Astyanax mexicanus: one gene and its partners. The protein of the gene in region 2 interacts with the protein of the main gene of each other region in a biochemical or structural test. Links are inferred from orthologs where the notes say so. Each region holds a gene or a part of one and is shown on either strand. Other genes may lie near its edges. The genes, in order: ptpn6, lcp2a, nck1b and itk.

What was found.
Region 1: the proteins of lcp2a (region 2) and ptpn6 form a complex in vitro, tested with the Homo sapiens proteins (2 studies listed by BioGRID). The link is inferred for Astyanax mexicanus from reciprocal best matches to the Homo sapiens genes LCP2 and PTPN6.
Region 3: the proteins of lcp2a (region 2) and nck1b form a complex in vitro, tested with the Homo sapiens proteins (2 studies listed by BioGRID and IntAct, with this or other methods). The link is inferred for Astyanax mexicanus from reciprocal best matches to the Homo sapiens genes LCP2 and NCK1.
Region 4: the proteins of lcp2a (region 2) and itk form a complex in vitro, tested with the Homo sapiens proteins (2 studies listed by BioGRID, with this or other methods). The link is inferred for Astyanax mexicanus from reciprocal best matches to the Homo sapiens genes LCP2 and ITK.

What each region holds. Positions count from the first base shown.
Region 1 is NC_064413.1:26,348,156-26,356,402, forward strand, and holds the start of ptpn6 (tyrosine-protein phosphatase non-receptor type 6), read right to left. Parts: upstream 3,714-8,247; 5' UTR 3,574-3,713; intron 3,439-3,573; exon of another isoform or gene 3,249-3,438; intron 1-3,248. Other genes in the region: chd4b (chromodomain-helicase-DNA-binding protein 4), read right to left, coding at 6,048-6,223, 7,801-7,996, 8,081-8,213. UniProt on the Homo sapiens protein: Tyrosine phosphatase enzyme that plays important roles in controlling immune signaling pathways and fundamental physiological processes such as hematopoiesis.
Region 2 is NC_064424.1:10,749,947-10,757,714, forward strand, and holds the start of lcp2a (lymphocyte cytosolic protein 2a), read right to left. Parts: upstream 3,494-7,768; 5' UTR 3,000-3,493; coding exon 2,922-2,999; intron 2,532-2,921; coding exon 2,469-2,531; intron 934-2,468; coding exon 887-933; intron 158-886; coding exon 92-157; intron 1-91. UniProt on the Homo sapiens protein: Adapter protein primarily involved in signaling pathways within T-cells, as well as other immune cells such as platelets, mast cells, and natural killer (NK) cells.
Region 3 is NC_064413.1:49,211,655-49,220,273, forward strand, and holds the start of nck1b (cytoplasmic protein NCK1), read left to right. Parts: upstream 1-4,883; 5' UTR 4,884-5,049; intron 5,050-8,619. UniProt on the Homo sapiens protein: Adapter protein which associates with tyrosine-phosphorylated growth factor receptors, such as KDR and PDGFRB, or their cellular substrates. Maintains low levels of EIF2S1 phosphorylation by promoting its dephosphorylation by PP1.
Region 4 is NC_064417.1:49,419,568-49,427,528, forward strand, and holds the start of itk (tyrosine-protein kinase ITK/TSK), read right to left. Parts: upstream 3,633-7,961; 5' UTR 3,536-3,632; coding exon 3,380-3,535; intron 211-3,379; coding exon 106-210; intron 1-105. Other genes in the region: med7 (mediator of RNA polymerase II transcription subunit 7), read left to right, coding at 7,493-7,961. UniProt on the Homo sapiens protein: Tyrosine kinase that plays an essential role in regulation of the adaptive immune response. Regulates the development, function and differentiation of conventional T-cells and nonconventional NKT-cells.

The DNA of each region.
Region 1 (8,247 bases), on a different chromosome or scaffold from region 2:
ATTTCTGAAGTGGTTGCTAAGCTGTTGCTAGGCAGTTGCTAATGTTTTCCAGGTGGTTGCTAAGCTGTTGCTAACTGGTTGCTGGGCAATTGCTAACATATACCAGGTGGTTGCTAGGTGGTTGCTAGGGTGTTGCTAGGTTGTTGCTAAGGTGTTGCTATGGTATCCGGGGTGGTTGCTAAGATGTTGCTAGGTGGTTGCTAATGTGTTGCTAGGTGGTTGCTAAGGTGTTGCTATGGTATCCAGGGTGGTTACTAATGTGTTGCTAGGTGGTTGCTAGGGTCTTGCTAGGTGGTTGCTAAGGTGTTGCTATGGTATCTGGGGTGGTTGCTAAGGTGTTGCTAGGTGGTTGCTAGGGTGTTGCTAGTTGGTTGCTAGGTGGTTGCTAAGGTGTTGCTATGCGGTTGCTAAGGTGTTGCTATGGTATCCGGGGTGGTTGCTAAGGTGTTGCTAGGTGGTTGCTAAGGTGTTGCTATGCGGTTGCTAAGGTGTTGCTATGGTATCCAGGGTGGTTGCTAAGGTGTTGCTAGGTGGTTGCTAGGGTGTTGCTATGGTATCCAGGGTGGTTGCTAAGGTGTTGCTAGGTGGTTGCTAAGGTGTTGCTAGGTGGTTGCTAAGGTGTTGCTATGGTATCTGGGGTGGTTGCTAAGGTGTTGCTAGGTGGTTGCTATGTGGTTGCTAAGGTGTTGCTATGCGGTTGCTAAGGTGTTTCTAAAGTGGTTGCTAAGTGGTTGCTAGGCAGTTGCTAACGTTTTCCATGTGGTTGCTAAGTGGTTGCTTAGTGGTTGCTAGGCAGTTTCTATAATTTCTAAAGTGGTTGCTAGGCAGTTGCTAACATATTCCACGTGGTTACTAAGTGGTTGCTAGGCAGTTGCTGTCATTTCTAAAGTGGTTGCTAAGCTGTTGCTAGGCAGTTGCTAACGTTTTCCAGTTGGTTGCTAAGGTGTTGCTAAGTGGTTGCTACGCACTTACTATCATTTCTAAATTGGTTGCTAAGTGGTTGCTAGGCAGTTGCTAACATATTCCACATGATTGCTAAGTGGTTGCTAGGCAGTTGCTAACGTTTTTCAGGTGGTTGCTAAGCTGTTGCTATTTGGTTGCTAGGCAGTTGCTATCATTTCTAGAGTGGTTGCTAAGTGGTTGCTATGCAGTTGATAACGTTTTCCAGGTGGTTGCTAAGGTGTAGCAAACTGGTAGCTAGGCAGTTGCTAACATATTCCAGGTGGTTGCTAAGTGGTTGCTAGGCAGTTGCTATAATTTCTAAAGTGGTTGCTAAGCAGTTGCTAATGTTTTCCTAGTGGTTGTTAAGGTGTTGCTAAGTGGTTGCTAGGCAGTTGCTATCGTTTTTAACGTGGTTGCTAAGTGGTTGCTAAGTGGTTGCTAGGCAGTTGCTTTCATTTCTAAAGTGGTTGCTAAGCTGTTGCTAGGCAGTTTCTAACTTTTCCTAGTGGTTGCTAAGGTATTGCTAACTGGTTGCTAGGCAGTTGCTAACGTTTTCCAGGTGGTTGCTAAGTTGTTGCTAAGCAGTTAATAGGTGGTTGCAAAGCCCTGGCTGGGGTGCCGGGGTGTCCAAACTTTTGACTGATAGCTGCTCCATACAGCAGCTCCTCCATACACTCACAGTACTGGAGGAGCAGGGGAGAGAAGGGGTTCCGTGCGCAGAGCTGCTCGTGTGCGAGATGGAACTCTGGGCCCCCCATTCATTCCTATGGGGAAACTTTGTACGATAATTGTACGAAAACCGTACGACGTATAATTTCGTGAAGCATATTGTCGGAAAGAACGCGATAAGTTGTATAAACCAGCCGTATTTCGTCTTTGTATCTCAAAAATTGTGACCTACATAGACTTTCAAATTTCCCCATACTATTTAAGTTAAAATAGAAATTTTAGTAGTGTCCCTGGGTTTTACTCAGTCCTGTTATCGTAACACATTACCCCATCTGAAACATTTGAGACATACTACAAGTCACATCTACATCAGGAAGTTCCATCAGTTGGTTCTTCTGGAGATCATGGGAAGACCAAAATTAAAGTTCCCTTATTTGTTTTTCTGTATATTTGATAGTGTAATTATGATTGAGGAGGTCAATCTCAACACTCTGTCCTGTTACCTAAGTTAATTCTTAGATATTATTTGTTTATTTTTAAAATAATGTAATTTCTAATTTTAGAATTTCTAATTCTAAGATAAAAACTCATTCCTGTTACTTATAACATAAAGAGTAACAGGCGTGACTGTCAGTAACAGGAGTGAGTTCCAGTAATAGGAATAAGTATTGTCCTCTGCTTTATTGCTTTATTGTTTAACCAGGGAACAATATTAGTGAATGTAAAACACTTTTTTTTTAATCAATTTCAGATTTGGGTCTTCTTGAAAAAATAAAAATAGCATTGCATCTTTTAGGAGAAATACAATGTACATTAATATAAAGTGATTTAAAAACAAAATTATCAATTATTTGAACATACTGTCAACAATTTCTTTAAAATAAAGACTTCTTTGAGAGAAAATCAAAAGAAATTAGTGAACTTGTTGTAACCGTCTTTGGTTTCGAAACTGAGATTAACAGTACGTGTAACAGTTATACATACAGTACATGTGTATGTGTTATTAGATTCAGATGTATATATATATATATATATATATATATATATATATATATATATATATACGTATATAAGTATATATATATATATATATATATATATATATATATATATATATATATATATATATATATATATATAATGTGGAATAATAACATTAATAATATATAATTTCCCCGTAAATAATAAAAACAAAAACATCTGCGCTGGCTGACAACCACGTTTCCATGGCATTGATTGACATGCTACACGCTTGTTTTCGTCATGTAAAAGCGACAGTAACTCTGCGCGTGAGTTAGTTTGCTACTAGTTAAGACACGACATAGGGGTCTGTGGTGTAACCGGATTTAGTAAAAGGATAGTTTAAAACTTAAATTAAAAAGAAAGTTACCCCTCCAACAGAGAACTTCCCGCTGCAGACACCGCTAGAAAGTTAGTTAGCCAGAGCCAGAGCTAGACTAGACCTGTTCAGAGCACACACAGCTACACACTGAAACAGAATTAACTAACGTTAATTCCCTCAGAATCAGAGAGACACAGAACACACACTGCAGAGTCACTGCGACACACAACAGCAGTCTTACTACATATACTCACTAAACAGAAAGAAACAACAACAACAGCAGCAGCAGACTCACCACCACCGAGCTTTCTTCATCAGCGGGTCAACACACACACACACACACACACACCTGCACAGCGAGGAGCTTCATATACTACATTTACATAGTGCACTACGATCACTATAACCTATAGCGCTCAGAAGAGCTCCTCTCTCCCTCTCTGTATGTAAACGGTGGTTGTGATAAGAGATCAGAGCAGCATGATTACACTTCTCCACCCTGTAATTTTCCCAAATTGCCGTGTTTTGCCTGAGAGCCAAAAAAAGCCTCCAAATCTTCTTCCTAGTCAGCAAACACACACGCACGCGCGCTCGCTCTCAACCACACACCTCTGTCTCACCTGGAGGAGTGAGGAGTGTACCTGGTGTGTGTGTTTGGAGCAGCTGTCAGTGGAACTCTGTGGAGGTAGATCATTCTGTAACACGGTGAGCTAATATTTCTCCTCACTGACCGCTTCTCTCCCTCCAGTCTCCAGCCTGAGTCATCCGGGTCACTCCAACCCACACTGTGCTCCACACACAGGACCTGTCCAGACTCGCCCAGGTGAAAACCTAATTCTACAGATATGCTGAAAAACCAAACCCTTCAAATACCAAAACATATTCACAGACATACACCAGTTAATCACCCCCTCTACACTCTACAAAATAATTTAATAAGATAATTAATCGCTTTATTAAACAGAGGGAAGATTTATTAAATTAAGGAAACAACATATTATATTAACAGAATGATTTATTAAACTGAGTTTAGCTTTATTAAATTAAAGAGACAACATATTATATTAACATAATGATTTATTAAACTAAAATCCACTTTTTCTTTGTGAAATACAATAGGTCTCTCCGAGTTGTATATGCATGCTGCACATAAAACTCTTCTTTAAACTCCATTGTCTGCTAGTAAAAGAAAATGTTCAGAAAATAATATTCAGTCTATTAGAAAAAGCACTGTGTCTACGTCAACCTGTGACTTAGGTTATTATTCATGGCCTCACCCGCCTTGACTCGCGACCGCCCACAGGAAGAGCTGAAGCCAAGCAGGGATGCCATTTTGTCAGACAGAAGCTAACAGCATCAGGAACAACATGGTAGTTCCTGTGTTATTTGTAAAAATAACACATCAGTGTTATATGATTTGCCCAGTAATTCAGAGCTAAGGAACGAATGGTCTATGAAACACCATCAGCGAAGTACAATTAAGATAGGTAGGTATATGTTTTAAACAGTTCTGTTTACACAACAATCCGCCTCAAGGTTTTGTTCCAACTGCCTGGGCTCTGCTGTGGCTCAGCCAACAAAACCCCAGGGTGGATTTTTACTTTCTGGACCTGGACTACCCAACTCTTTGTGTAAGTAACTAAGTTTACATAGGATCTCCGGTGGATTTCGTGTTTTATAGAGACTATAAGACTAGGTCAGTGACTGAACTGCACTTAGCAGGGCATTACCCGTGTTGTAAAGTAACATATGACATTGTAAAGGCAGTTAATATTGTACAAATGTGTTATTAAAAACATTTCCAACTGGACCCTCCACCAGACTAAAGCAGCATACCGGATCACACACACAAAAAAAGTTCTAATATATTTCTGAAGAACAGAACCCACTTTTTCCAAATATTATTAAATATACTTTTGTGCTCATTCTCTCCTCACTTCAACTTACTCTTAATCTTAATTTATGTCTAATGTGCTGAATAACAAATTGTAGAATACAACACACAACTATCTTGTGCTTTGCAGCTCCTTCCCCTTAAGAACACAATAGACAAATATTCATTAAAAAGCACTCATAATATCCAGACAAACCTTTTTGTTAATTATTTTAATTGTATGTAGGTCAAAATCCAGAAAGAATATATGTATAAACAATACCAGGGCAACAACAATACTTACAAAGTGAGCTAATCAAACGTTTTGAATGTGGAAAATCAGCCTTGTTTTAAACGTCATCCTGTCATCATCCCAGTTGTGTTTTCTGATTGTGGGCTGGAGAAGGGACTGTGGCTTATGATGTTGACAGTCTGTGACACCATCTGGGGACCACTCAGGAATGATGTGAGGTGGGTTGGACGGAGGATTGCGAACAGGAAAGAGTTTTTTTTAAACATGGTTTGCTAAGGAAATCTCTGTTTAGAGATGTCTGAGCTCATATAAACCGTTATAGTGTGAGGGTGTTTGAGTGTATTCTAATGCACTGAAAAAAACTATGTAGTTATTTGATTCAAATGTGTACATACATTTCACATTAATAAAATATCTTACATCAAGACAGAACAGTGGCGATGTGATATATTTTATTTTTGTGGAACTTCTGTATACATTTGAGTGGCATTTTTTTTCAGCAAACAATCCCACAAGCTATGTGACCTGAAAATCTCAATGCACAGGCCTCAAGATGCCAATACGCACTGTATTTTACAGGTCAGTTGTATTAGTGTAAAGACAGGAATGAGAAGTCAGAGTTGCCTGAGGTTATTATGATAACGACACAATGTGAGACAAGGAATCCTCGCAAAGCTCTAAGTCTGATCACTGGCCGCAGAGATGCTTGGGAGGGTAGTGAGAGGAAGGTCACTCTGAGCTGTTTTAGTGCTATTCAGGTTGGGGAGCTTGTAAGGAGAAGTGTTATGGAGGGACACAGTTATGTTACAGTGGAAAATTCTTTCTCTCTTTTCATTCTAACAGCAGGGAGGACTCTCTGTACAGTACTCTGGGTAACCTGATCCAGCACAAGAGGGAACGACTGGGTGAAGCTATTCCGGATCAGGGCAGAGCCTAAGGGATGTAAGGGTCAAAAGGTCATCTGGGGCTCAGCGGGGTGCCTGCGTCTGTGTAACCTCTGGCCCACGGCTGGCCAGACGGCTAAGGATGCTCCGCTCTGACATCTGCAGGCGCACAGCGACCGGTGGTATCCGGGCGATGGTGGCTGGGAGGCGGGTGACGTCAGCCTTCATGTCACTGAGCAGCTCCTCCAGTTGCTTAAGAACTAAGAAAAATGAAGAGAGAGTTCAATTTATGACAAAATAAAAGTATCTAAGCATCCCTGATAGATCTCTAATGAGCATCTTCAGAGACTGTGTATCTCTGTGTCTATTTAAAACGTTAAGGGCGTTTTCACACATTAAAAGACCAGACCAAAGTCCGTTTTGTTACACTGTATACATGTATACACTGCAGTTTAAAGAGCACAGGAAATAACTTATGTCCTGTCCTCATCAACCAATGTGGGCTGCACCTCTCTATAAACAAGCACTGATTGATTCGTAGAATGTTGCCAGTTTGACGAGTTGCCTTTCCAGATGTTATGCTGAATTCTGCCTGCCAAAATTCGACCTCTCTTTTAATGCATGTTTCTGTTTATAATTAAGCAATAATACAAGGGAGGGACTGCTGGCACTGCTGTGCAGCCGTCGCAGACCTGTAGATGTGCCAGCAGTGCCAATATTACATGTTAATCGCACCATCCCAAAGTTCCATCATTGCTGTTTATTAAAATATTTTGAGTTAAAGAGGATGAGAGAAAATACAATCTGTTTGGTTATAAACACGCGCTGCACTGTTGCTAGGTTAGCGTGGTGGCCTCTATTTTCGGCCATTTCAGTCAAAATTGTGGAAATCTAAGCTTATTGTAAATAAATATAAAAGCTTTACTCGCCTAAATAAATGTTTTTTTAGAAGAGAAATCTGTGTAGATTTAAGTCCAGTGCTCGTTTGACTTAAGAATTAAAGTTTTGTTTACTTCGACGCCCCCCAGCGGCGAGACCTGCGGAATTACATGGGGACCCCTATTTTTCGCTACCTTAAATTTCACTTAAAATACCCTATATTAACTAATATGATATCAACTCCTATCCTGATATTGATGGCTGATAATGTTTGTTAAAATACATATATTTTTTTGAATTGCTAAGTTTGTTTATTTGTGTGAACCGTGTCTTTGCCTGCACCGCCTATTGGAGAGATGGCGTTTATGCACTGTGCCTGAAGGATACACTGCAAAAAAATCCATTGGCAAAAACTAGATAAAATCTATTTAAATGGAGACATAAATGCTTAAATTAAATCTGCCAATGATGTAAGCAATTTTTTTTATAATGTTTTCTTAAAATAAGCAATGACAAAGCCTCAAAATGAGTGAAGTAAGACTTAAATCAAGCAAAATAAATATTTTCTAGCTTAAATGTCTACACTTGTATCAGAATAACTTGACTGGTGAATTTTAGTGTTAATTTTGAGTTAAAAATACTTAAAATAAGGTGAAAATTCTAAGTAAGACTGTATAAGATAATTATTTCTAAAACATGTAAAACAATCTTTTTTTTCTATTTACAATGCTTAGTAAGACTAAAAATCTCAGCCAATCACATTGCAGAGTCTGAACTAACTTTGGCATAATAAGGCTTAATGTACAGTTACGTTAGTTACAAGAGTCTTAAGCGTAAAAAATCTAGTTATTTAAGTTATTTAATGGAATTTGTTTAAGTACCTGCATCGCTGTGTGAAAAGCTGCAATTGGTGTGCCATGTGTTTCTAGTCTAGCACACAGGCACAATATTGATGTACCTTTGTGCAGTACAGCGTTAGCAGGTTTATTTCCAGACATGGACTCCTTGCTGAGGTGCTGGTGGGACTCAGCCAGACACTCCACCTCACTGAAGCGAGTGTTGAGGGCCATAGAAGGGTGGGATGGGTCTTCCGTCATGTTAAGATATGCCGCTCTACGCAGCTGCTCTTCTATCACCAGCGCCTGCTCCAACAGCTGGGGGAAAACAAAATCTCTGTAGTACCAGCAGCGTACATGAATGTGTTCAAGTGAGTGAGTGAGACAGTGAGTGTTATGTACCTTAAACCTGCGAGCGAGAAACTTGTTTTTGATCTCAAGGAAGTTTCCACGGCTCATCTCTCCTTTGAAGGGCTGGTTGAGGATGGCATAGCGCGGGTCATTCTGAACATCCTGCCACCGAGCATAGCCATGTCTAAGAGCACGCAGAGTCAAAGATCATAACAGCA
Region 2 (7,768 bases):
GTATAGAACAAAAGTCATAATTATTAACAAAAAGTTAAAAGTTGAAGTAAGGAAGCATGGATTACTTATGAACGAGTTTTAAAGTGTTTGCCTTTTGGGGAAAATACTTCTCTTCTCCTCTTTCTTGTTGATTTCTCGACAGATTTTGGAGATAATTCTACAAAAGTGAAAGAAAAGAAATACAAATGATACACAGGAAACATAATATTTGGTTACCACTATTAAACCCAGAATTACAGATTATTACCCTGTGAAATGAACTGAATTCTTTGACTTTTTACTTCATGTGTGTACTATCGGCTCACTATAAGAACGATATGTGCAGGTCTTGTGAGTTGGAACTGGTGGGCGCATGAGCTGAGGGCTCGGCAGGATGTGGTAACCAAAATAGATCGTTTTCCTCCATGTACCTTAAAACTGTTCTAAAGGTAAACATGTATACACTGTGATTTTTAATGACACTCTCTTCAAAATGACCACTGTTTTGTCTAGTCTCTGATACTTTATCTCTCAGAATCATTTTCAGTTCCTTAACATGCTGCACATTCAGCCATTTCATCTCCCTGAAATACTACTGAAGTAACACATGATTCTGCTGTGCAATGGTTCCTGCCACATCTGCATGTGTTGCACTATCTTTCTTCAGCAGTGCTTCCTCTTAATGTGAGTGCATGCACCGAAACACATAATAAGAGGGTTAACACTTCATACTGCAGCGTGGACCACCTACAATTACAAGGTCACAACATTTTGATGGAAAGCTTAGAAAGGAAATGCAACCCATGCAAAACAAACAAACGTAACTATAGATAAAAAAGGAAATTCAACAAAGTTTAACAACCGCACTAAAATCTCAAACTGAACTAAAAAGAAGCAGGATACTCACGGGGAGTAAAGATTAGGAAATTTCTGAAGGTCGTTTTCTGTCATGTTCTGTAAACACAAAGAAAGGAAAGATTTTTTATTATTTCAAGCATACAATACACTTGAAAGCAAATAAAATTCATAAAACATAAAAAAAAAACATTAGAACAAATAATTAAATAAGTATAAATAAGTATAAATAAGTAACTATTACAGAAATAGTTACTACAGAAACTGAAGACATATTATTTGTCTACTAATTATTATAAATAAAATATTAGGCTCCTAAATGTTGTTTTGCCACTGTAAGTCACGTTTATAACTTGTTTTAGATTATGTACTCTCCTTATCTATGTATCAATACACAAAAACAACACCCCTCTATTGTGTATTTAAATAATTTTGTGGATAAAAATCTGATTTAATGTTATAATATAGTGTTGCTAGCAAATACACTGTTACTGCCGACGTTAAGATCTCATATAAATATAAGTCTCTGATGTCTAATACTGTCACTTGTAAGCCAAAGCCATACAATTTTAATCCATTATACATTTTGCTAGTAACAACACATAAGAGAAAAAATAAGAGAGCACCTAAAAATTATGAGTTTCTTTGATTATTACAAGCCATCAAACCAAGCTGAACTGCCTGAATTTTTGCACCAGAAGTGACATAAAGTTATACAAAAGCAGTGTGTAAGACTGGTGGAGCAGAACATGTCAAGATGCATGCAAACTGTGATTAAAAACAGGCTTATTCAATTTCTGAATATGAAAAAATGTTCATATTTTTGAATATGAACTTGTTTTCTTTGGATTATTTAAGCTCTGCATCTTTTTTGTTATTTCACCCATTTCTCATTTTCTGCCAATATTTTATTTGGAATTTGGGAGAAATGCATAGTTTATAGAATAAAACAACAATGTTAATTTTACTCAAACGTACACCAATTAATAGCAAAATCAGAGACTTTTCAGAAGCTGAAGTGGTCTCTTATTTTTTCCAGAGCCATATATGCATATGTATTTGTGTGCGTTTGCGAGGGAGGGGGTATTTTAGTGTATTTGCACATATAAGCAGTATTCAGTATTGTTCATTTGTGTTTTCTAATATAAGTGGTGTTCAAGACATAATTATTACTGATACATAAATACATAGCTGATACCAAATACATAGCTGTATATATAATTCTAATCTTTTTAATAATATATATGTATTTCTCGCATCATCATTCAGATCAAGCTTTATATTAACATGTAAAAGACACCTCTAATAATGGCACTTCCTTAATCCATGACAACATGCAGCAGCCATAGAACAATGACTCATATCTGTGTGAAGGGGAATTTTGTCTATAGATAATGCTTCTTATATCAAGAAAAATATAAATATAACAAATATATATATATAAAAAAATATTTGACAGTTTTACGGCAGGTGATTGAATCCATTGTTAAATTTAGGTTTGTAAAGGTACGTAAACATGCACATGGCTTATTTTGAAAATATTAAATATATTAACATGTTTTTTTCATAACACCAACAGAAAAAAGTAATGGATACAATTAAAAAGGTCTTCAGAAAGTGAATGAGATACATACCAGAAATCTCTGTCCATTCATATTGCATTTCATAATTACTTTATCACAGCCTGTCAGCTCCCGCTGTAGATGAAAATGACAAAAACACATCACTCAGTAACGCAGAGGAAAAACATAGTTTAAACACATTGAAAAATATCACGCTTTCAGTACTCTGCAAAGAAAGTGTGACATAACATAAGCAGGCTTAATGAGGAAATGTTCAGTATGTGAATGTGTGAAATCTGCATGTGTAAAGCAACCATGTCTAGACCATGTCTTCTACCCTATGTGAACCAGTAGGCCTCGCTGCTGAATTAAGTTCTTCTCCTTTAAACTTAAAGGTGTTTAAAATTAAAATCAAACTCAACACCAATAAAAACAACAACCAAATATTAAAACTGTCAGTACTAAAGTTTTAAATTGGTCTTAAAGATAGAAAAAACATATTAAAACAGTAACAAACTAACTTACCCTCCTTAGAAAGTCAGCTAAATGAGCAGGATCCCAGTTCATGACCTCCATTTTGGAAGGAATATTGTTGAAACTCATGGTTCCAAGTTTGCCACTGTCTAAAATTAAATGAAAATAAAACCCTACAAAAATAAAATGAAAAAAAAAATCTTTTTTTTTTATCTCCAAGTACTCATCACGCCAGGCACGACTCCTGAGAAGCTGAAAGGATGTTTAGCTCTGACATGCCACGATGCAACCAAGAACAGCACACTGTCTGACTTTGGGGTGGAGAAAAACACCCACAAGCAAGGTTCTAGACGTAAATCCGGCACAAAAAGGTAAGTCTTCTTGACAGAACGCTCAGCATGAAAAAAGAAAAGAAAAAGAAGTCCAAAATGTTTGAAGCTGAGAAAATGTTCCTGTACGTTCACATAGGAAGCAATTTAAAGATAGTCTAAATTCATCTATGTTACATTTGTAAATATTTAAAAAGCGAACAACACCCAGGATTTGTCTGAGCTCACTGAGAAAAGAAAGAATGACAGCACTTCCCTGTAGGTTTCCTGTTGATCACCGCGGTAAATAGGGGAAGTACAGCCCCTTATGAGAAAAAGAAATGAACAGTTCACTGTTTAGTTTGCATACCCACACTATTTCATCTAGATGTCTATTTGTACAGTACAAATTTCAACTTAATAAAGGATGCAAGTATGTATACATCTTTCATTTTTATTATTTATTAAGTATTGCCCAGTACCAAGCAATTAACCACATGACCTACAGCAAGCTTACATATATTGACCTTCATGCACCAATTGAGTTGCTGAGCGCTACTTTAGCAGGGGTCTGATGCCACATATAGCCCACCCACGGCTATGAATCTTAGAGATTTGTGATAGAATTGAGTCTATTTTCTTTTCTATAAATGCTATAAATATCCTAATAAATAGAAATGCCCAAATATATGCCTTTTAATCATAAATCCTAAATAAACTGCCAGGCAACCCTTTACTGGAGTGAAACAACTTCATATGACCAGCCATTATAAAGCAATCAGCCATTGCTTGTGGTTGTGTGTAGGTGTGGGCAGAAAGTGGAAGCAAATGTAGTTCCCATCCAACAGATGTATTTGCACCATTTCACACAAATAAGACATGTTTTATAAAAAAGAAAACCATTCAAACCATTAAGTTGGCCTCTTCCTGTAGCCTACATTTATCTAGCTATGTTAGCTCTAATAATACATCATACATCACTGTCAGATATAATAAATGGGTTATATTCTGGCTAGGGGAGCTGACAAGCACCTCTCAATTACAACACTACAAACTGTGATGGCTAGCTAAACATATTACTTTAAAATAGATAAACTTATTAAGGTTCTTAAACATTTTCATGTTGTAAAACAGATTTTCATGCGATGCTAACTAAAGATGCTAATGAAAAATGTAGCTAGCCAGTCCATTAATTGTTTTTTTAATTTGTTTTGTAATAACTGGCTGGTTGTAGCACAGAAAAACTAGTGATAGCAAAAATAGTTTTTTAACTATTAATGTAAGAATTATTTATTATTAAAGTGTAAAAAGAGATAAGGTTTAAATGCTTTATTTGGTAGCTTAAACAGTAGGCTAGCTTAGCAATTAGCGGACGGTTTATTGCCATATCCTGCAAAACGTCCTTGTAATCATACCTTTATTTTTTTTCTGATTTGGTGCAGCATGCCTAAAATGTGGCTTTACTTTGTTATATTTAGAACAAGCCATTCTATTGAATTAAACATCTAAATATCAATTTTAAATAACTGCAGATAAATATAGACTCTGCTCTCATACATCACATTTCATTTGTTCTTAGCAAAATAGATTTTATTGTCCTGTTTTAATAATAATAATAATAATAACAACAGGGATACTTTTTTAAATGTGTCAAGTAAATACAACAAATATAAATACTTGCTTAGCTTACTTAAGTAGAAATGTTGGTTATCTATACTTTACTAGAGTATTTTTTTCACACCTATTTTATTGCACTGTAGGATCCTGTGGCATGGTCTAAGCTTTTATCCTTATTTCCCCCCCTTATTTTAGCATTTTGTTCCCTTACATTAACTTGTATACTTTTACACTTTAAAGCTTAAGTTGATACTTCAGCTTCTACAGAAGTATTTTTAAACCCCAATATCTATACTTCTACTTGAGTAATGAATGTCAGTACTTTTAAAGCCTTTGCTGCTTTTATTGGAGAAACTGTCTACTCTACTGGGAAGGCTTTCTACTAGATTTTAGAGCATTCAGCAACACAAACACTACAGAGGACAGGAGGCTTGGATGATCACCAAAACCTCCTCCACTAATCAATGTATGAATGGAGCATTATTATTACAGAGAACACAATTCCACCACTCAACAGGGCAATGCATGTGAGACTTTTATACTCCTTTCTGACATAAGGCATGATACAAATAGGTTAATGTGTACCGGCTCCACAGAGTACTATTGTATTGTCTATAGGCTACAGGGACTGGACAAGCTGTGTGCACGCATTTGCACCACAGTGTCAACAATGGGTGCAGCTGAATTCATTTTACTAGAAGCAGAGTTTAAACACCTTTTACAAGCTAAAATTAAAGCACTTTTTAAGAACTTTCAAGGCCCATTTTCAAGTTTTTCCTGCACCTTTCAGCTGTGGTAAATTAATGATGACGGTGATATCTCAACACTGTGATTCAGCGATAATCAATACATTGCAAAAGCAAATCTATTCTCCACACTATGCCACTGAGGAAAAAAATAGTTCTAGGTAAGTAAATAGCAAAAATTATGGATTTATTAATGGCAGTTTTACACAATGTAACTATCAATGTTTTTCACCGCATGTTACCCTTTTCATTTGATTGAGCAGTTACTGTAGTATATCAAATTCTGGGATGAGTTGAGACCATTTATACATACATATACTCAAAATTATTGATTTGCTTTTTGTCACACTGCAAGAGATGCAGTGTATTATGTTTACGTAAATGCAAACAGAATTGTTTGGTAATATCAGAAGGAGAAGAAATTAAAGCCTTTTTCCTTTTACGTTCTGCAATTTTTTCTTTAAGCAAACTTATTTAGTCAGATAATTATTTATTGTATAGTAAATGTAGTCAGAATTTCAAGCATTTTCAAGCACTTTCTCTAAAATTTCAACACTTTCCAGGCCTGGAAAACAGACTGTTAAAATCCAAGCATTTTCCAGGATTTCAAGCACCCGCACGAACCCTGTAGAAGGGGTGTCTACAAACATTTGGACACACTGTATTAGAGCATTCAAGTGTTGTTTTTTTTTTGAGCAGGTAGTTGGTGTCTATACAAAACCACAGCTATTATTAGCTCATTAAAAAGTAAGTAAGTCAGGTGGTAATCAAAGTAGGCCAAACCAAAAAGCACCCACACTTGGAAAGTCTGAGCTTTCATTTTTTTTTCCCCCAGGCCCCACGATTGCTAGTGGAAACTTATGACACTTGAAGTGTCTCACTATTTGGCTTTATTTATGTTTATTCCCAGCAATGCAATCTGAAATTTGCACGTCCCAAAAACTTTTAACTTTCTATGTCATTCGCTATAACAATTTCCACTTCCTGTGAACTCCAGTCGATGCTGAATGTATACTGGTATTGTAGGTGGGTGTACTTAAACTAGATCAGAAAGAAAAGGTCAACTGTCAGAGTCATACAGTTGTTTACAGTTACAGTTGCTTACAGTGTCTTTTATAGTTTCAAAAGAAATGCTGGGTTTAGATTCATGTGTTCAGATCAGGAATTTAACTTAAGGGCACTGAATGAATTGTATCTAAATAAGCACAGTCCTGTGGTTTACCAGTTGTCTTCAGAACCATATAGGTAAACAATAGCGCCATCACATGGTGATAAGAGTGTTATGATAAAAAAAAAATCATCATTAAGAAAGCATTACAGTGTTTTCATCTGATTTACTCTGAATTAACACATTACAAGTCCCCTAAAATGTTAATTTTTACTTTAAAGTTAAATTTTAAACATTTTATACAGATTTATTTAATGTGGGGTGAGGTTTTGCCATGTCCACAGTGCTGCCTGATTAAGTTGAATAACTCATTAAGATTTTTAATAATTTAGACATTTAAATAATGAAAACAGCTTTTTTTGTAAAAAGAAAATCAAGCATTTAAACATTTTCAACAATGCCCTGTCATCTTGGAACAACCACACCACTTTAAGAAAGTACGGTTGTACTGTTTCCGTTTTTAAGGGACTGAAGACTCCTGCTGCACGTTCAACAATTAATAATATGAGTTTTATTTTTTTATTAGCTTAATTAAACCATAACCTCTCCATCCTGTCATGATGGGGTGGAAAAATGCATGCAACTATATAATGAAAATAAAAAGTGATTAAGCTGGAAAAATATAATTTTTCATTAGTCATATAACTATGATAAATAGTCAAAACATTTATTAAAGTGTATTACTTATCAGTGTTGGCTTGTTACTGCAGGTAAAAATTCCAGCCTGTCACTGAATAAGTGATCAACAATAACTCCTTAACCACTCAGCCAAAGCTAATTTATATTAGGTAAATGTAATTTAATTAAATTTAATAGTTTTAGAGCCACAATGAAATGAACAGTTCTGAGAAAGATCATTAAGAGAGGTTTGTTTAGACATCTTAAGTTCTGGAATGAAACTGCAATGCTAAAATAGCTATAAAAATAGCAATAGCTAAAACAATTGAACTGTATGACCTGTTGAAACCTCTTAATGTGCTTAGTATCTTGATTAAATCCAGATAAGAATTTATCAAATTACACTTAAGTTTGGTAAACAAATGACAGAATATGCTCATT
Region 3 (8,619 bases), on a different chromosome or scaffold from region 2:
GTAAAAAGCCTTCTTCCTTGGACAGTTGAGACAGTTACTCCAACAAAAGCAGGATAAACTCTTTTAATATCCTTAAATAAGCAGGTGTCCCAGTACTTTTGTCCATATAGTGAACAGTACTGCAGTATACTGAGTACAGTTTATTTGCTTGAGGCAGGAACATTTCTGCATTTCTGTTCCCCTTCAAACACAGCTTGTTCTGTGCTGGCTGTGTTATCTTCAGTCTCTTCTGCTGCTGCTGCTGACGTTTTGCGCCTGCTGTCATGCTGATGGCCTGCGGCAGGCGCTCAAATGAAATTCACGCCATCCTCAGCACTCCCACAGCTGCCTCGGCTACTCCAGCAGCCCACAGCCCTGCCATCCTTTTCTGATTGGCCTTTTTTTTCTCCACCACCACCACAAGCCAAAGCGATTTAGTCTCTGTTCAGCTGCTGGCACCATGCCTGTGTAAGAGCAGTGCTGGTATGACTGCAGTGGTGGAAATGACCAATGGGGTGCTCAAAGGATTTGTTCATTTCATGGTAATGACTGTAACAAGGCCTTTGCCCACCTGCTCCACCAGGCGGCACTTCAGAGACGGGCTGCTCCTCTGTGGTTGAGATGCTGATACTGATCTCTCTGTGTTCTCTCAGTGTTTGGCCTCTTGGGAGCAGAGTGGAGCTGAGCTGCTGAACAGGAATCTGTAGATTCTCACACTTTGTGTTCAGTTTAGTCAGAGTTATGTACAGGTATGCAGTGCTGTGTGTGTTGCATGAATGCTATACTGTACCGTATAAGGATACATCAATACATGATTACTGGGCTTAAAATGACAAGATATATTTTATTGCTATAAAGAATACATTGGAATATTATATAAGACCAATAATGGTCAATAATGGTTACTAATTAGCTTGTAAATGCCTTAAAAATCATTAATAATCAGTTATAACACATACGTAGAAAGGGCAACAATGACCTGTTGTTTGCCAAATAGTGAACCCACAGCTATCTATATTGTTGCCTTTTCTACGTATGTGTTATAACTGATTATTAATGATTTTTAAAGCATTTACAACCTTATTAGTAACCATTAATAAACTAATAGTAAACCATTTATAAACCCTTTATGAAGGTAGTCTTATTTTAAAGTGGTACCCCAATCTGTACTTTTGGCAGTGTGGGCAGTGTGCGAAATCCTGCTGGAAAATGAAATCTGCATAATCTCCATAAACGTTGTCAGCAGAGGGAAGCATGAAGTGTTGTAAGATTTAAAAAAAAAAAAGTATTTTTAATTTTAATGCCTTCCATGATGTATTTACAGTACACACGTGACACTGTGGACCGAAGAACATTAAATCCCTGCACAACTTCAGAAATGGAACATTAGACATGTAGAAATTCCAAAGTCATGAGATAACACTTTGAACACATGGTCAATTTACTGTAAAAACAGTTATCTCATATCTTTTTAGCATGCCAATGTAATAATATTGTCTTACAATATATATTTTTTGTGTGTCAGCAGATCATTGAATCAATTAGCAATATGAAATATTATTTCAAAAATCACAATTTAACAATGATTTCCACTGTTTTTTCGTGCAGGTCTTCTCAATATGGTTCAGGCTAATCAGAGGGAAGCATGAAGTGCTGTAAGATTTTGTAGGAAAACAAAACTGCACTGACTTATACTCATTAGACTTGATAATAAAACACAGTGGATCAACACCAGCAGATGACATGTCTCTCCAAACCATCACTGACCATCAGTAAATTTTGCATTTCATTTATAAATCAAGGGAGCAGAGTCTGGTGGAAGAGTAAAGAGACACACAGTCCAAACTGCTTGAAGTCTAGTGAGAAGTTTCCACCAATCAGTGATGGTTTAGAGGAGAGACATGTCATCTGCTGGTGTTGGTCCACTGTGTTTTATTATCAAGTCAGTGCAGTTTTGATTTCCCTCAAAATCTTACAGTACTTCATGCTTCCCTCTGCTGCTGACAATTTTTATGAAGATGTGGATTTCAATTTTCAGCAGGAGATGGCACACTGCCCACACTTCCAAAAGCACCAATTGGTCTTATATAATATTCTAATTTTCTGAGATACTGATTTGTGTGTTTTCATTGGCTGTCATAAAAGTCATAATCTTTAACCATAAAATAATTACACCATAAAGTAGTTTTATCACTAATATAATTTTTTTCACATTTTAAAGTGAATTACTTTTCAGTGATATTCTAATTTTTTTTGAGGTGCACCTGTAATTAATACTTACAAATTAATTACGTACAAATACTTTTTGCCACATGGTGTACATCTTCCTTAACATTCACCCCCTGGTGTTGTCACCCATTAAATAGGCTGCTTTGCAAACAGGCCTATAATGCGTAATAGCAAGGCTGTAAAAAACAGGCTGTAAATCACAGTTGTTGTTGTCACCATGTTGGCTCATATTTGTGCATGTGGTTGGGTTATGTAAATGATAATGTGCCAAAAGCTTTTACGGATGGAGCAAAATTAGCATTTTAATTTTATAACCTCGAGCTAAAATTCATTAAATCTTCTCTCCACGTCTTTCTGATTAGGATTAGCTCACAGCTAATTAGCTCAGGCTTTATTACAGTGACTCTTCATGTTCCAGACTGTATGAACGGTTCATATGGTTCATACACAGTGTTCATACGTAGCACTATGCTGAGCATGTGTGTGTTTGGGGGAGGTTGGGGGGGGGGGGCTCTAGGACATGTACAGTGGGTCCATCTGTTTGTGCAGGAAACAGATTGCATCCTGGAGTGTGTTCTGCGCCCCTCCATTCGACTCCCTCGATTGTAAGAGGTCGAGGTGTGTATGAACAATATCGCTCACGGATGAGTGAAGATACAGTCAAAACAAATGCAACGATCAACAAGTACGTATTTCTGTTTAATTTAATGGCAAGCGGACAGAGAATAGAGTGGTGGAGGGATGACATGCCGGGTCTATCAAACAGGAAAGATGCTGTAATAACTGGGGTCAAACATGTAGGATATGGCATATTGCCTTATAATGATAACATGACACATAGTCATGCCACATGAAACAGGCCTGCTGCAGAAGCCTCATTTAAACTGATTTGATTTCTTGTCACATTAAATGTGGAGATCTTCAGTCACTCTTTGACATTAAAATGGAAAGTCTGATAAATAAGGCACATAAATAACAAAATAAATTAATAAATATTTAAATAAACAAAGAAACTAATAAATGAAGTTAAATATATAGTGCCTTTCTTGAAACCCAAGGACGCTTAACAATTAATAAGTTTTTACACACAACCATTCATACCCTGCACTCATCCACACACCGATGAGAAGCAGCAGCCAATAGCGCACAGCATACTCTCAACCGGAAACAACCCCAAAGTCCAACTGGAGAACTGCATCGCGCACTACAGCATTTACCCAGGACAGAGCGCCACACATACCTATACATACAGTACATATACAAATCAATTTAGATTTTTTTAATTTTCAATTGTTTTTTCTGGGCAATTTGGAGTATCCCATTTTCTTGATCTTCATTAAGGTTTGGAAAGCTGTAATAATTAATGGTTGGATTTGCTTCTAACAAAACCCTCCATAAAAAGACTATCATCTACTCAACAGAAATTGATTATGCAGAAGAGGTGCTCATTTCTAGTCCTGGAGACCTCCTCTCACCAATTATACGTTGTGTTGTTAGAAAATATAGAAAGTAGTGAATAAATACTGCTTACAGTACACTTTAGTGTAGTTTTTTTTCCAACTAGCTTTAAGGTGTACACAATATGCACATCAATACGCAAAGTAGTATATTTACAACATAATTCAAATGTATTAAAAAGGTGTTTAAAAAACACATACTTAAATCTACTTAAGTTTGCAGAAGTTGTACGAAATAAACTCTCAAAAGCTGCCAAAGCAACAAATAAAAAGTTTACAACAAGTATGTATGTTTATAGTAATAATATAAACAGTCAAATATACTTCTTTACATACAGCTCTGGAAAAAATAAAGAGACGACTTCAGTTTCTGAATCAGCTTTTTTTATTTAGCTATTTATAAGTATATGTTTGAGTAAAATGAACATTGTTGTTTTATTCAGTAAAATACGGACAACAGTTCTCCCAAATTCCAAATAAAAATATTGTAATTTCAAGATTCAGATCCTTTTTTTAATCACAGTTTTCATGCATATTGGCATGTTCTCCTCCACCAGTTTTACACACTGCTTTTGGATAACTTCATGCCACTCCTGGTGCAAAAATTCAAGCAGTTCAGCTTGGTTTGATGGCTTGATTATGTTCCAGAGGTTTTCAATGTGGTAAAATGGAAGAATCTCATAATTTTCAAGTGGCCTCTTATGTTTTTTTCCAGAGCTTTAATTTTGCACATATGCATATTTCCATTTACATAGATATATAACATGTAAGCCACGTGCAAACTGTGTAACATTAAATATTAAAGCTGAGTAAATAAATGAATAAAGGTTTGTTGAAAAAAAAATAGTTTGTTGCCAGAGGGCAACATTATGCCATAGAAAGAGGGTTAAAAAAAACCTTTCCATTGGAAACAAACCTGAAACATGCAGCAGGGCCACGCATCTTTATGATTGACGTACAAATTAGCCAATAAGGGGCGTTCTCTCTCGCTGACAACCAATGAGAATCGAGTCTGAGCGTTCTGACTCCACCCAGTGACAAAAGTTAGCAAGAGGCGGGAATAAGCGTGTAGTGGTCTTTAATGATAGACGCGGGAATCTTCAAATGAGAGGATCTGCTTTTCCATACGCGAACCAATGAGAGTCGGGACTGAATCGGTGGCTTTCCAATGGGAAGTTAGATAGCGGTTGGGGGGCGGGGCTTTGTCCCGCTGGATGTGCTGGAATAGCGTCCCATAAAGGCGAGTGACGGTTGGCTGTAGAGCAGGAGGGCAGCGTTAGCTGAATGTTTAATATAGCGCTATTATTATTGTTTTCTGGATGTTTATGGTTCATAAATCGTGTGAATAAACGTGGGCAATATATTCGGAGAGGCTGGTTTGAAGGTAAGACCTGGAAAAGGTTTATTTAGTAGCTTATTTGAGGCTGTGGTTTGGTTGGATGGCTGTAGTAGTTAGCTAGCTGAGATGCTAACCGCAGACCCCGCTGCTGTTTCTAGCTTTAGTATGAGAAAAACAGGGAAACGGGGTCTTGCTGGGATTAAACCGGATTAAAACGTGTTTTTCTAAATTAAATACACTTTATCGGTCTGTAAATAAGATGGTAAGATGTATGAGAGATGGAGTAGAGGTGAATCACGCCGGCCTGGCACCGTTTAAATCACGGGCTGCTCTGTTTTGTGTTGGTTAGCTGTCATGCTAACCATCATTGCCACTGTTCACTGACCTCAAGCTATTCCTATATACCTACTGTAACTAGGGGTGGGCAGTATTATATCGTATACAATATATCGTCACACAGAAATATCATGGTATTAAAAATCCATGTCGTGATAATAGGGCTGTTCTGTCTTAAAAGTAGTCTATTATTTACTGTGAAGCTTTAAGTGTAACTTAAAAATACCCTGAAATATCGTGATATTATTTTAGAGCCATATCGACCACCCCTAACAGTAACTATAGCTAATGTTACCTATTAACCCATATCTCCCATGTCTTTTATTTAGACATTTCTATATGTTATCCTTAAATTTCATAGCTAAACTATTCCAGTATTATTAGACCAAAATGAGTGAGGCACTAAATAAATATTGGTTGTTGACCTGTGCTGTGTTTTTACTGCCAAATACCAACCACATATCATCACATTAAAGTGTATATATAAGCTATATAGATATATTTAACCTCTCATTTCTGCTGTTAACGCCATATATTTCTATATGAGCTATTCAGGATGTATTCAGATTAGACCCAGCTATGAATCATGTGTAATACAGGATGTTTCATTATATTGCTTAGCTAAAATCTTAGTGAGGATCTAAGTAAATATAAGTTGTTGACCTGTGCTGTGTTTATCCTGTCAAATACCAAATATCACATTAAACTAAAGATGAACTAGTTATACACATTTAACCTCTCATTATACAGACTAGACCTAGTTATACAGTTGTGGTCAAAAGTTTACATACACTTGTAAAAAAACATAATGTTATGGCTGTCTTGAGTTTTCAATAAGTTCTACAACTCTTATTTTTCTGTGATAGAGTGATCGGAACACATACATGTTTGTCACAAAAAACAGTCATAAAATTTGGTTCTTTCATAAATTTATTATGGGTCTGCTGAAAATGTCACCAAATCTGCTGGGTCAAAAATATACATACAGCAACAAAAATTGTCAATTTTGGTGATGTAGCGAGTTGTGTCAATCAGATTAGCTTCATGTCATGGCCTCTTCACTTCTTGTAAGTGATTCTGATTGACTACAGCTGTTGACTTCTCATGAGCCCATTTAAATAGGGCTCATTTGACCCAGTGATTAGACTCAGCTACAAAAGCTACAATGGGAAAGTCAAAGGAACTCAGTGTGGATATGAAAAAGCGAATTATTGACTTGAACAAGTCAGGGAAGTCACTTGGAGCCATTTCAAAGCAGCTACAGGTCCCAAGAGCAACTGTGCAGACAATTATACGCAAGTATAAAGTGCATGGAACAGTTGTGTCACTGCCACGATCAGGAAGAAAACGCAAGCTATCACATGCTGCCGAGAGGAGATTGGTCAGGATGGTCAAGAGTCAACCAAGAATCACCAAGAAGCAGGTCTGCAAGGATTTGGAAGCTGATGGAACACAGGTGTCAGTCTCCACAGTCAAGCGTGTTTTACATCGCCATGGACTGAGAGGCTGCCGTGCAAGAAAGAAGCCCTTGCTCCAGAAAAGGCACCTTAAGACTCGGCTGAAGTTTGCTGCTGATCACATGGACAAAGATAAAACCTTCTGGAGGAAAGTTCTCTGGTCAGACGAAACAAAAATTGAGCTGTTTGGCCACAACACCCAGCAATATGTTTGGAGGAGAAAAGGTGAGGCCTTTAATCCCAGGAACACCATGCCTACTGTCAAGCATGGTGGTGGTAGTATTATGCTCTGGGGATGTTTTGCTGCCAGTGGAACTGGTTCTTTGCAGAAAGTAAATGGGATAATGAAGAAGGAGGATTACCTCCAAATTCTGCAGGAAAACTTAAAACCATCAGCCATCAAGGTTGGGTCTTGGGCGCAGTTGGGTGTTCCAACAAGACAATGACCCAAAACACACATCAAAAGTGGTAAAGGAATGGCTAAACCAGGCTAGAATTAAGGTTTTAGAATGGCCTTCCCAAAGTCCTGACTTAAACCCCATTGAGAACATGTGGACAGTGCTAAAGAAACGGGTTCATGCAAGAAAACCATCACATTTAGCTGAACTGCACCAATTCTGTCAAGAAGAGTGGTCAAACATTCGACCTGAAGCTTGCCAGGAGCTTGTGGATGGCTACCAAAAGCGCCTAGTTGCCGTGAAAATGGCCAAGGGACATGTAACCAAATACTAATGTTGCTGTATGTATATTTTTGACCCAGCAGATTTGGTGACATTTTCAGCAGACCCATAATAAATTTATGAAAGAACCAAATTTTATGACTGTTTTTTTGTGACAAACATGTATGTGTTCCGATCACTCTATCACAGAAAAATAAGAGTTGTAGAACTTATTGAAAACTCAAGACAGCCATAACATTATGTTTTTTTACAAGTGTATGTAAACTTTTGACCACAACTGTACATCATGTGTGATACAGTATATTTCATTACAAAAATATTTAGTGAGGCACAAAATAAAAATGGGTTGTTGAGTTGTGCTGTATTTATCATGCCAAATGTCATTTACAAAGTAAAGCTAACCTATACACATTAAAAAAAAAATCTGCTGTGTGATATGTTCTCATCTATATTTCATAAAAGTGTTTAAGAATATACTCAGACCACATTTAGTGAGACACTTTTTTTTCACATTTAGTGAGACACATATTTTTATATATTTATCTTATGTTTGTCCTGTTAAATGGCATCACATTAAAGTAGTTCAGTAAATCAACATGATTTCTAAAACCACCAACCAGTTGTTGAGAAATGATGCTTCAGACATCATGTTATTGAGACCGTAATGGCAATTGGACCTTTATTCTTTTTTCATGACATTTTGAGTTCAGATGTCATGATATTGAACTGCTGCAATGTGAGTTTTTAAGAATAACTGAAGTTATTTGACGGGATAGGCTTAAGACACATCTCATGAAGTCTCTTAGTCATATTAAGTGGTAGAGAGAGTTTTAAAGGTCATAACTTTAGTACTACACTAATACGTTTGCTATTATTACTTGCAATAATAGCAACTTTTTAGTTGGTATTTCAATACAAGCCTCATTTCAATGCTAACAGTCTTCAGATGTTGTTTAGACTGTGTAGGCACCTATCCTTTATTTACTGAGGCTCTAAACATGGGATGTGGACCTGGTGCTGTCTTTATCCTGCCAAATAACATCAGTTTCTCTTTAACCGCACATTACAGCAGTCTCAGTATCGTGATGTCTGGGCTCAAAATTGAAAAAATCATCCCCATTTGATATTATGGTCTGAGTAGC
Region 4 (7,961 bases), on a different chromosome or scaffold from region 2:
CCAGTAGATTTGGTTCATTTGTCGCATGTGTAGCTGTGCAAGCAAACAAGCAATGCCTTAGAAGTGAAGATAATGATTGTAAGCTGAGGTTAAGGTTTCTCTCACCTGGAAGGGGTACTTGTATTCGCAGGGTATCGGAACATCGCTGCGCACAATCTCCACACATTTAATACGGCACAGCTCGATGCAGCCTTTCTGAATCGGCTTTTTCTAAAGAACAATGAGAGGAATCATATTTATTCACTTTACAGAGATACTGTCATGCAACCTCACATTACGCAACTTTTAGTGAGAAAATTAAATAGTGCAAGTATGGGGGCAACCCAGATTTACACCAAAGAAATCACGTAAGAACATATTAAAACAATTACATAAAGCATCTCACATTCTACGCTAGACTGTAGCCTTAACATTCTTTTCCTAAATGCCTAAAAGTCTTTCCCAATTTGCATACTTTTAAACAAGATGAAATTTAAAAATTTCAAGAATGTCCTTATATAAAAAACAGATCAAAGACTGAGATTGAGTGTTCCTATAGGATAAAGAAAAGTTTATTTTTAATACAACACACAATAACAAATACCAAAAGTATCAAAGTATTAAACTTCAAAGCCCTATCCAGCATATCGTCGCTGTCTAACAAAAAATACTCTCTAAATCAGCTACTTTACAGGAGAGAGATAAAACCTTCTTAACTTTAATGGACATCAATGTATAAAGAGTTTATTTCAGTTAATTTTGGAGAACTTATATTGATCCATTCATAAAGAAATCTTGACACAGTGTAATGAACGGTTTTTGTGTTCAAATTATGTGAAAAACAAAAAATTGACAAAAATGGAGATACTTGTTTTTCATTGGAGAGTGACTATACGAAGTTATCTAAAAGGTGCCACACCTTTGCCAAATCCAACTTGCCTGATCTTACATCAAATTAAGTTCATGCTTTATTTCAGTATTGTTATCCCAATAAAAGCTTCAGTCTATTTGTTTGTTTTTTAAGTATTTTTAAAAAGATTGTAAAAAGTATGGTGATACAAAATGATTGTTTTACTGATTTTAATAACACTACAGAAGAAAACTAACTGAAAAGGAGTTAATGTGAGCGAGAAGAACCTTTACATTCATGTCTATAAATCTTTTAGAATCTCAATTTCAAAAATGCTTCTTCTGTGGCATTGCTCAATAACACCACAAAATACTGAATATGAGACCACAGTAAACGCTACCTAATATCTACAGCCATGCTGTTTAATAGTTGAGTCTTGCTGTTGTTAAAATCTGACATTCCTATTGTAACATAAAGTATATACCAAAAGTACAAATATGCTGTCTGGTAATTACTGTTGTAAGACTCGAGTCTGGTCTCCCATAAAAAAGCAATCTTAGTTTTGATCCCATTTGGAATTGGTCATGACTCAGACTTGACTTGGCTCTAGAGGTCTTTTATATTTACATGAAATAATATTTATCTGGTCTTGAATTTGACTCAGACTTGATATCTCCCAGTCTTGGTCTTAACTCTGACTTAACTAACAAAAGTTTTGGTCTTGACTCAGACTCAATATGTTAAAGTGTATGTCTAAACTTGTCTAGACTTGGCTCTAGTGGTTTTGACTTTTTATATTTATATACAAAAATCTTTAACCTGATCTTGACTCGGACTTAACTACGAAAAGTCTTGGTTTTGACTCGGATTTGATTCCTTAAAATCTTGGTCTTGACACCTACTTGAGTACAAAAAATATTTGTCTTAATTCGGACTTGGTTCCCAAAAGTCTTGGTCTTGACTCTGATTTGATTCCCAAAAGTCTTGGTCGTGACTTAGACTTGACAACAAATTTCTTGGTCTTGACTCTGACTCAACTACAAAATAGTCTTGGTCTTGACTTCCGATTTGATTCCCAAAAGTTTTGGCCTTGACTTGGATTTGATTCCCAAAAGTATGGGTCATGACACAGACTTGACTACAAAAAAAAGTATTTGTCTTGATTTGGTTGTTTTGGTCTTGACTCAGACTCGACTAAGAAAAAAGTATTGGTCTTGACTCGGATTTGATTTCCAAAAGTCTTGGTCTTGACTAGCACTCGAATAAATAAAGTCTTGGTCTTGACTCTTATTTAATTCCTAAAAGTCTTGGTCGTGACTCGGACTCAACTACAAAAATGTCTTAGTCTTGACTCGGATTTGATTTCCAAATGTCTTGGTCTTGATTCAGACTTGACTACAAAAAAGTCTTGATCTTGACTCTGATTTGATTCCCAAAAGTCTTCGTCTTAACTCGGACTTGACTAAAAAAAGTCTTAGTCTTGACTCTGTTTTGACTTTCAAAGTCTTGGTTTTGATTCGGATTTGATTACCAAATGTCTTGATCTTGACATGGACTCGTCTAAAAAAAATTATTGGTCTTGACTCAGACTTGACTGCAAAATAAGTCTTGGTTTTAAGTCGGATTTGACTGCTAAGATTCTTGTTCTTGACTCAGTTCTAGTGGTTTGAAATAATTTTTTCTGGTTTGGGATATTAATCTTTATATCGGTATTGGCCACTGACTAGCTGACTTGATTACCACAAATCTTGGTCTTGACTCATATAGCCTGATATAGCCAGTCTTGGTCTTATCTCAGAATCGATATAGCCCGCTCTTGGTCTTGACTCAGACTCGATATAGCCAGGTCTTGGTCTTGTCTTAGACTCGATATAGCCTAGTCTTGGTCTGGACTCAGACTCGATATAGCCCGGTCTTGGTCTGGACTCAGACTTGATATAGCCCGGTCTTGGTCTGGACTCAGACTCGATATAGCCTAGTATTGGTCTGGACTCAGACTCGATATAGCCCGGTCTTGGTCTGGACTCAGACTCGATATAGCCCGGTCTTGGTCTGGACTCTGACTCGATATAGCCCGGTCTTGGTCTGGACTCAGACTCGATATAGCCCGGTCTTGGTCTGGACTCAGACTCGATATAGCCCGGTCTTGGTCTGGACTCAGACTCGATATAGCCCGGTCTTGGTCTGGACTCAGACTTGATATAGCCCGGTCTTGGTCTGGACTCAGACTCGATATAGCCTAGTATTGGTCTGGACTCAGACTCAATATAGCCCGGTCTTGGTCTGGACTCAGACTCGATATAGCCTAGTCTTGGTCTTGACTCAGACTCGATATAGCCCGGTCTTGGTCTTGACTCTGACTCAATGTATGCCGGTCTTGGTCTGGACTCGGGCTTGGCTCTGGCTGTAACTCCATTTTTATATCATCTTACTCCCACAATAAAAATGTACATATATATATATATATATATATATATATATATATATATATATATATATATATATATATATATATATTTATGTATATTGTACAGCAGCGAGTGTACTCACCCCAGGGCGACGCTCTGAATAGGTCAGGTCCTCAGTGTTGAGTATGAAGTAGCGCTCTTTATAATTGCAGGGGGAGGTTCTGCGCTTCTGCTGAGACTTCTTAAATAAAGTTCCCTTCAGAATGACCCGCGGGTACGTGTTAGGGTTAGGGTACATGAGTCTGCTGGAGGAGCTGAGCTGGGCTCAGGCATTCCTGCTGCTGCTGCTGCTGCCGTGGAGTGTGTGTTACTAACAGAGATCATGCGTCTGTAGACTAACACTGGTGCATCATGAGTTATGGGCTTCCGGAGAAGATACACCGGGTAAACCACTTCCTTAGGTAGGTATATGACACAAGTGTGCTCTCACACACACACACATACACACATATATACACACATACAAACACATACATACAGTACCAGTCAAAGGTTTGGCACAACTTACATACAGTGTTTTTTTTTTCATTATTTTAAAATGTTCTGCATTGTAGATTAATACTAAACTCATCTAAACCATGAAAAAAACATATGGAATTATTAATTATAGAAAACAGTGTTAAACCAGAATATGTTTATATTTTACATTCTTCAAATCAGCACCTCTTGCTTAAATTAGACAGTTTTGCACATCTCTGCTGTATTTTCTCAGTCAGCTTTATGAGGTAGAGTCACCTGGATTTCAGGTTTTCAGTTAACAGCTGTGCTGAACTCATCAAGAGTTAATTACTACTTTTTCAAATTTCTTGCCTCTTAATGTTAATGTGTTTGAGAGCATCAGTTGTAAAGTAGTGAAGAGGTAGAGTTACAGGTATACAGTAAATAGTGAATATTTGAATAATGTTCTAATCCAGATTATGAGAAGCAAGAACTACTCAACTAAATGAAGAAAAATACTTTAGGAAGAAATGAAGGTATTATCATAGGGCAGGAACCTAATTCATTTTAATTTGTTTTCCTAAGAAAACCCATTTCTTCTTCACTATACTAAATAGGGGAAAATATGTAAAAAGATGTTACACCCAGTTGTATATGTTTTTAAATTTAGCCTTATTTGCTCAGAAAATTAGACTGATGAACATGACAAGAGAATCATGTTTAAACTTTGAACACAGTTCAGTGGAGCAAAATGGTGAAAGTATGTTCATTTAGTGAAATTAACATCTAAATTTACATTTTAATAAGTCATGGCCACGCATTATTGCCCATGAATGTTAACCACACTTTTATACATAAAGATACCATTTTTTATTATAACAATACATTGATTAAACGTTTAGAATATATTGTAAACTTTTATATTCTACTAGCAAAATATTTTAATCACAAACAAAAATTTTAGATGCAAAACTAAGCTTTGCAGTTTTTGATTAGTTTAACAATTATCAGTTACATTTTCTGACTGTTTGAGGCTAAGTGCAAAAGTCTAAAATTGGATAAAAATGTCATTATTTAATTGTTTACATTAGTGCAGTGTAGACGTTTTTATCCATTATTTATAATATATAGTTTTTTCTTCTCTGTCCCTCATAATCAGAATTTTAGGAAAATTTTAGGATGATTTTTTTCATTGTTTCATTTTGTAAATAACATTAGTTGAATTACACCATCAGATTTAATCCAAAAATGGAAAAAATCTGAATATCAAGAAAAGATTCACTTTTTAAATTAAAAATTCTGAAATTCTGTTCACGAAAGGCAGAAATTGAAAAACTGGATTAAAACGCATTTCTTCTTTACTATACTGAATTTTAAAAATAAATAAATAAATAAGTTTTACATCTAATTTTGTAAAATGTTAAAATTGAATAATCAAAAAATAAAAAATATTATTTTTTTTCCTTTTTCCTGACATTCCGATTGTGAGGGTCAGAGATGAAAAAAATAAAATTGGAAAAATGGATGAAACTACATAAAAAAATAAAAAAATGTGCTTTTACATCCAATTTTCTAATTTTGCATTTATCCTCAAACGGTCAGAAAATTGAATTATTAAACGTTAAGATGACCCAGTTGTTTGACGTTATTTGTATACTTGTTTGTTAAATACATAATAAAAAATAAAATAACCATAGCGTGAATTAAACAAATAATTATTAAATAAAATTATTAATTTTAAAACATTACAAAAAATAAAACGTTTACAGCGCTGTTGTTTTGAACACGCCTTTAAATGATCTACACCAATCACAGCTCCCCTCCCTTACCCGTGTCGTCCAATCAGAAGGCAGCTTACAGTCCGGGCTCGGAGGCGCTATGAGAGCAGGAGCTTGGCTGGGTTGTGTTTATTTTGTATTTTATTAATAATCTGTACAGAATTCCGCGCGGTTCGGCTGCAGTTTGGTATGTAATAATTTCTGTATGATTTACTGCAGTAACTGGAGCTGTTTACACGCGTTTAGGGCTTTTAAAATACTTTTTATTTAGATGCTAACTAAGCAGGTTAGCATTAGCGACGAGCTAGCTAAGCTATGCTAAAGCTAATGTTTTAGATTTAGGGTTAGATAGGTTATATGTGTATATAGGTTATTTAGTTATATATTTCAATGTATTTTTAGCGTTTATACGACTCTAAACCTCGTTAAACAGTGATTTAATGTGATTAAAACTTTAAAAATGTGCTGTGTTGATTATATAGGCATGGGACCTGTGTTGTGTCGATTTTAGCAACATTGTAAAACTATGCTACCCTAGTAGGTGTGTACAATATATTGTGACACAGAAATATCGTGATATTAAAAATCCATATCTTGATAATTGGGCTGTTCTGTCTTAAAATTAGTCTATTATTTACTGTGAAGCTTTAGGTGTATTTATTGTATAATTGTTTCAGTTTGCAGTTTATATGCATGCACTAAATATTCTGCAATATTATTTGCTGCATTATATTATTTTATGCTATATGATTTATTTTGCCACATTATGATTATGCTGTTAAACTGTTATTCTATATTCCTGAAATTAATTAATTATTTTTCTGTTTTCCTATATCGGCAAGTATATCGTTATCACAAAAAATACTCTGAAATAACGCGATATTATTTTAGAGCCATATCGCCCACCCCTATACCCTAGTGTAAATTTGCTGGTAAAATACAAAATATTAGAATATGTATTAGAAGTAGAAGTTTCGGATGATATTTGAATAACCTAAATTGCTGTATCAGGGTAATTAGTGGATGGATGGATGGATGGATAGATACTATAGTATAGCTATTGCAATATTGAAGACTATATTAAAGCTCTACTGGAGCGCATGCTGTATGAATTATTCTGTAAACAGTAAATAGTATTAAACAAACAAGAATCTGTTTTATACTTTAGATTCTTAGCACAAAAGTATCACATTTATCTTTGAGGACAGATCTGCACACTCTCAGTATTTTAATCTCAGTGTCTTCATGAGGGAGAGTCACCTGGAATAGTTTTCTCAGAGTCTTGAAGGAAGGAGTTTCTGGAGGTGCTGAACAATAGTTGCTGCTTTTCCTTCTTCACGCTGTGCAGCTCAGGCTCATCCCAATTTAAATCACCTCAAATCACCAACTCAGTTCATCAGGTTTAGATCAGGAGATTAATGTGGTGACTAACACTTTTTTTATGTTTACTACGTAATTCTATGTGTGTCCCTTAATCGTTTTTGTGTCTTTAATCAAGATTAATCTACAATGTAGAATTGTGTAAATTAAATAAAGTAATTAAGAAAACATTGAATGAGTAGGTGTGTCTAAACAGTACCAGAAATTATTGCTATAAACTATATATTATTGTCATTTTAAGACCAATGTATGCTACAGATATAATGATAACAGAATATAATTACAAAGCAATATATTTTAAAGACACTGTATGTATGGAGTCACAGTTATTGAAGCATTGGTCATTTAACATGACTGATTCAAATACTGTTTATTATATAAGATAAGCATTTTTTAACGGGGTTTATCTCTAATTGTTAAAGTGTTTCTAAAACTCAACAAATAATAACTATACTTCTATGTTGTACTAATTCATTTGGATTTAACACACTATTTCATTAATTCAAATGGTCATATGTTTGTATTGGTATCAGCATAAATGTACACTATGTCAAGCTTTTCTGTTTTCTCTGTTTTCTCTCCGTTTCCAGACGCTCAGGATGGGTGAGCCACAGCAGGTCAGCGCCCTGCCGCTGCCGCCGATGCAGTACATCAAGGAGTACACGGACGAGAACGTGCGGAAAGGCCTGGCACCAAAACCGCCGCCTCCCATCCGAGACAATTACACCATGTTCGGCAACCAGTTCCAGTGCGACGACCTGATCATCCGGCCCCTGGAGAGCCAGGGCATCGAGCGCCTGCACCCCATGCAGTTCGACCACAAGCGGGAACTGAAAAAGCTCAACATGTCCATCCTGGTGAACTTTCTGGACCTGCTGGATATTCTGATTAAGAGCCCGGGCAGCATTAAGCGGGAAGAGAAACTGGAGGACCTGAAACTGCTGTTCGTTCACATGCATCACCTCATCAACGAGTACCGGCCCCACCAGGCCCGCGAGACGCTGCGCGTGATGATGGAGGTGCAGAAGAGGCAGCGGCTGGAGACGGCCGAGCGCTTCCAGAAGCACC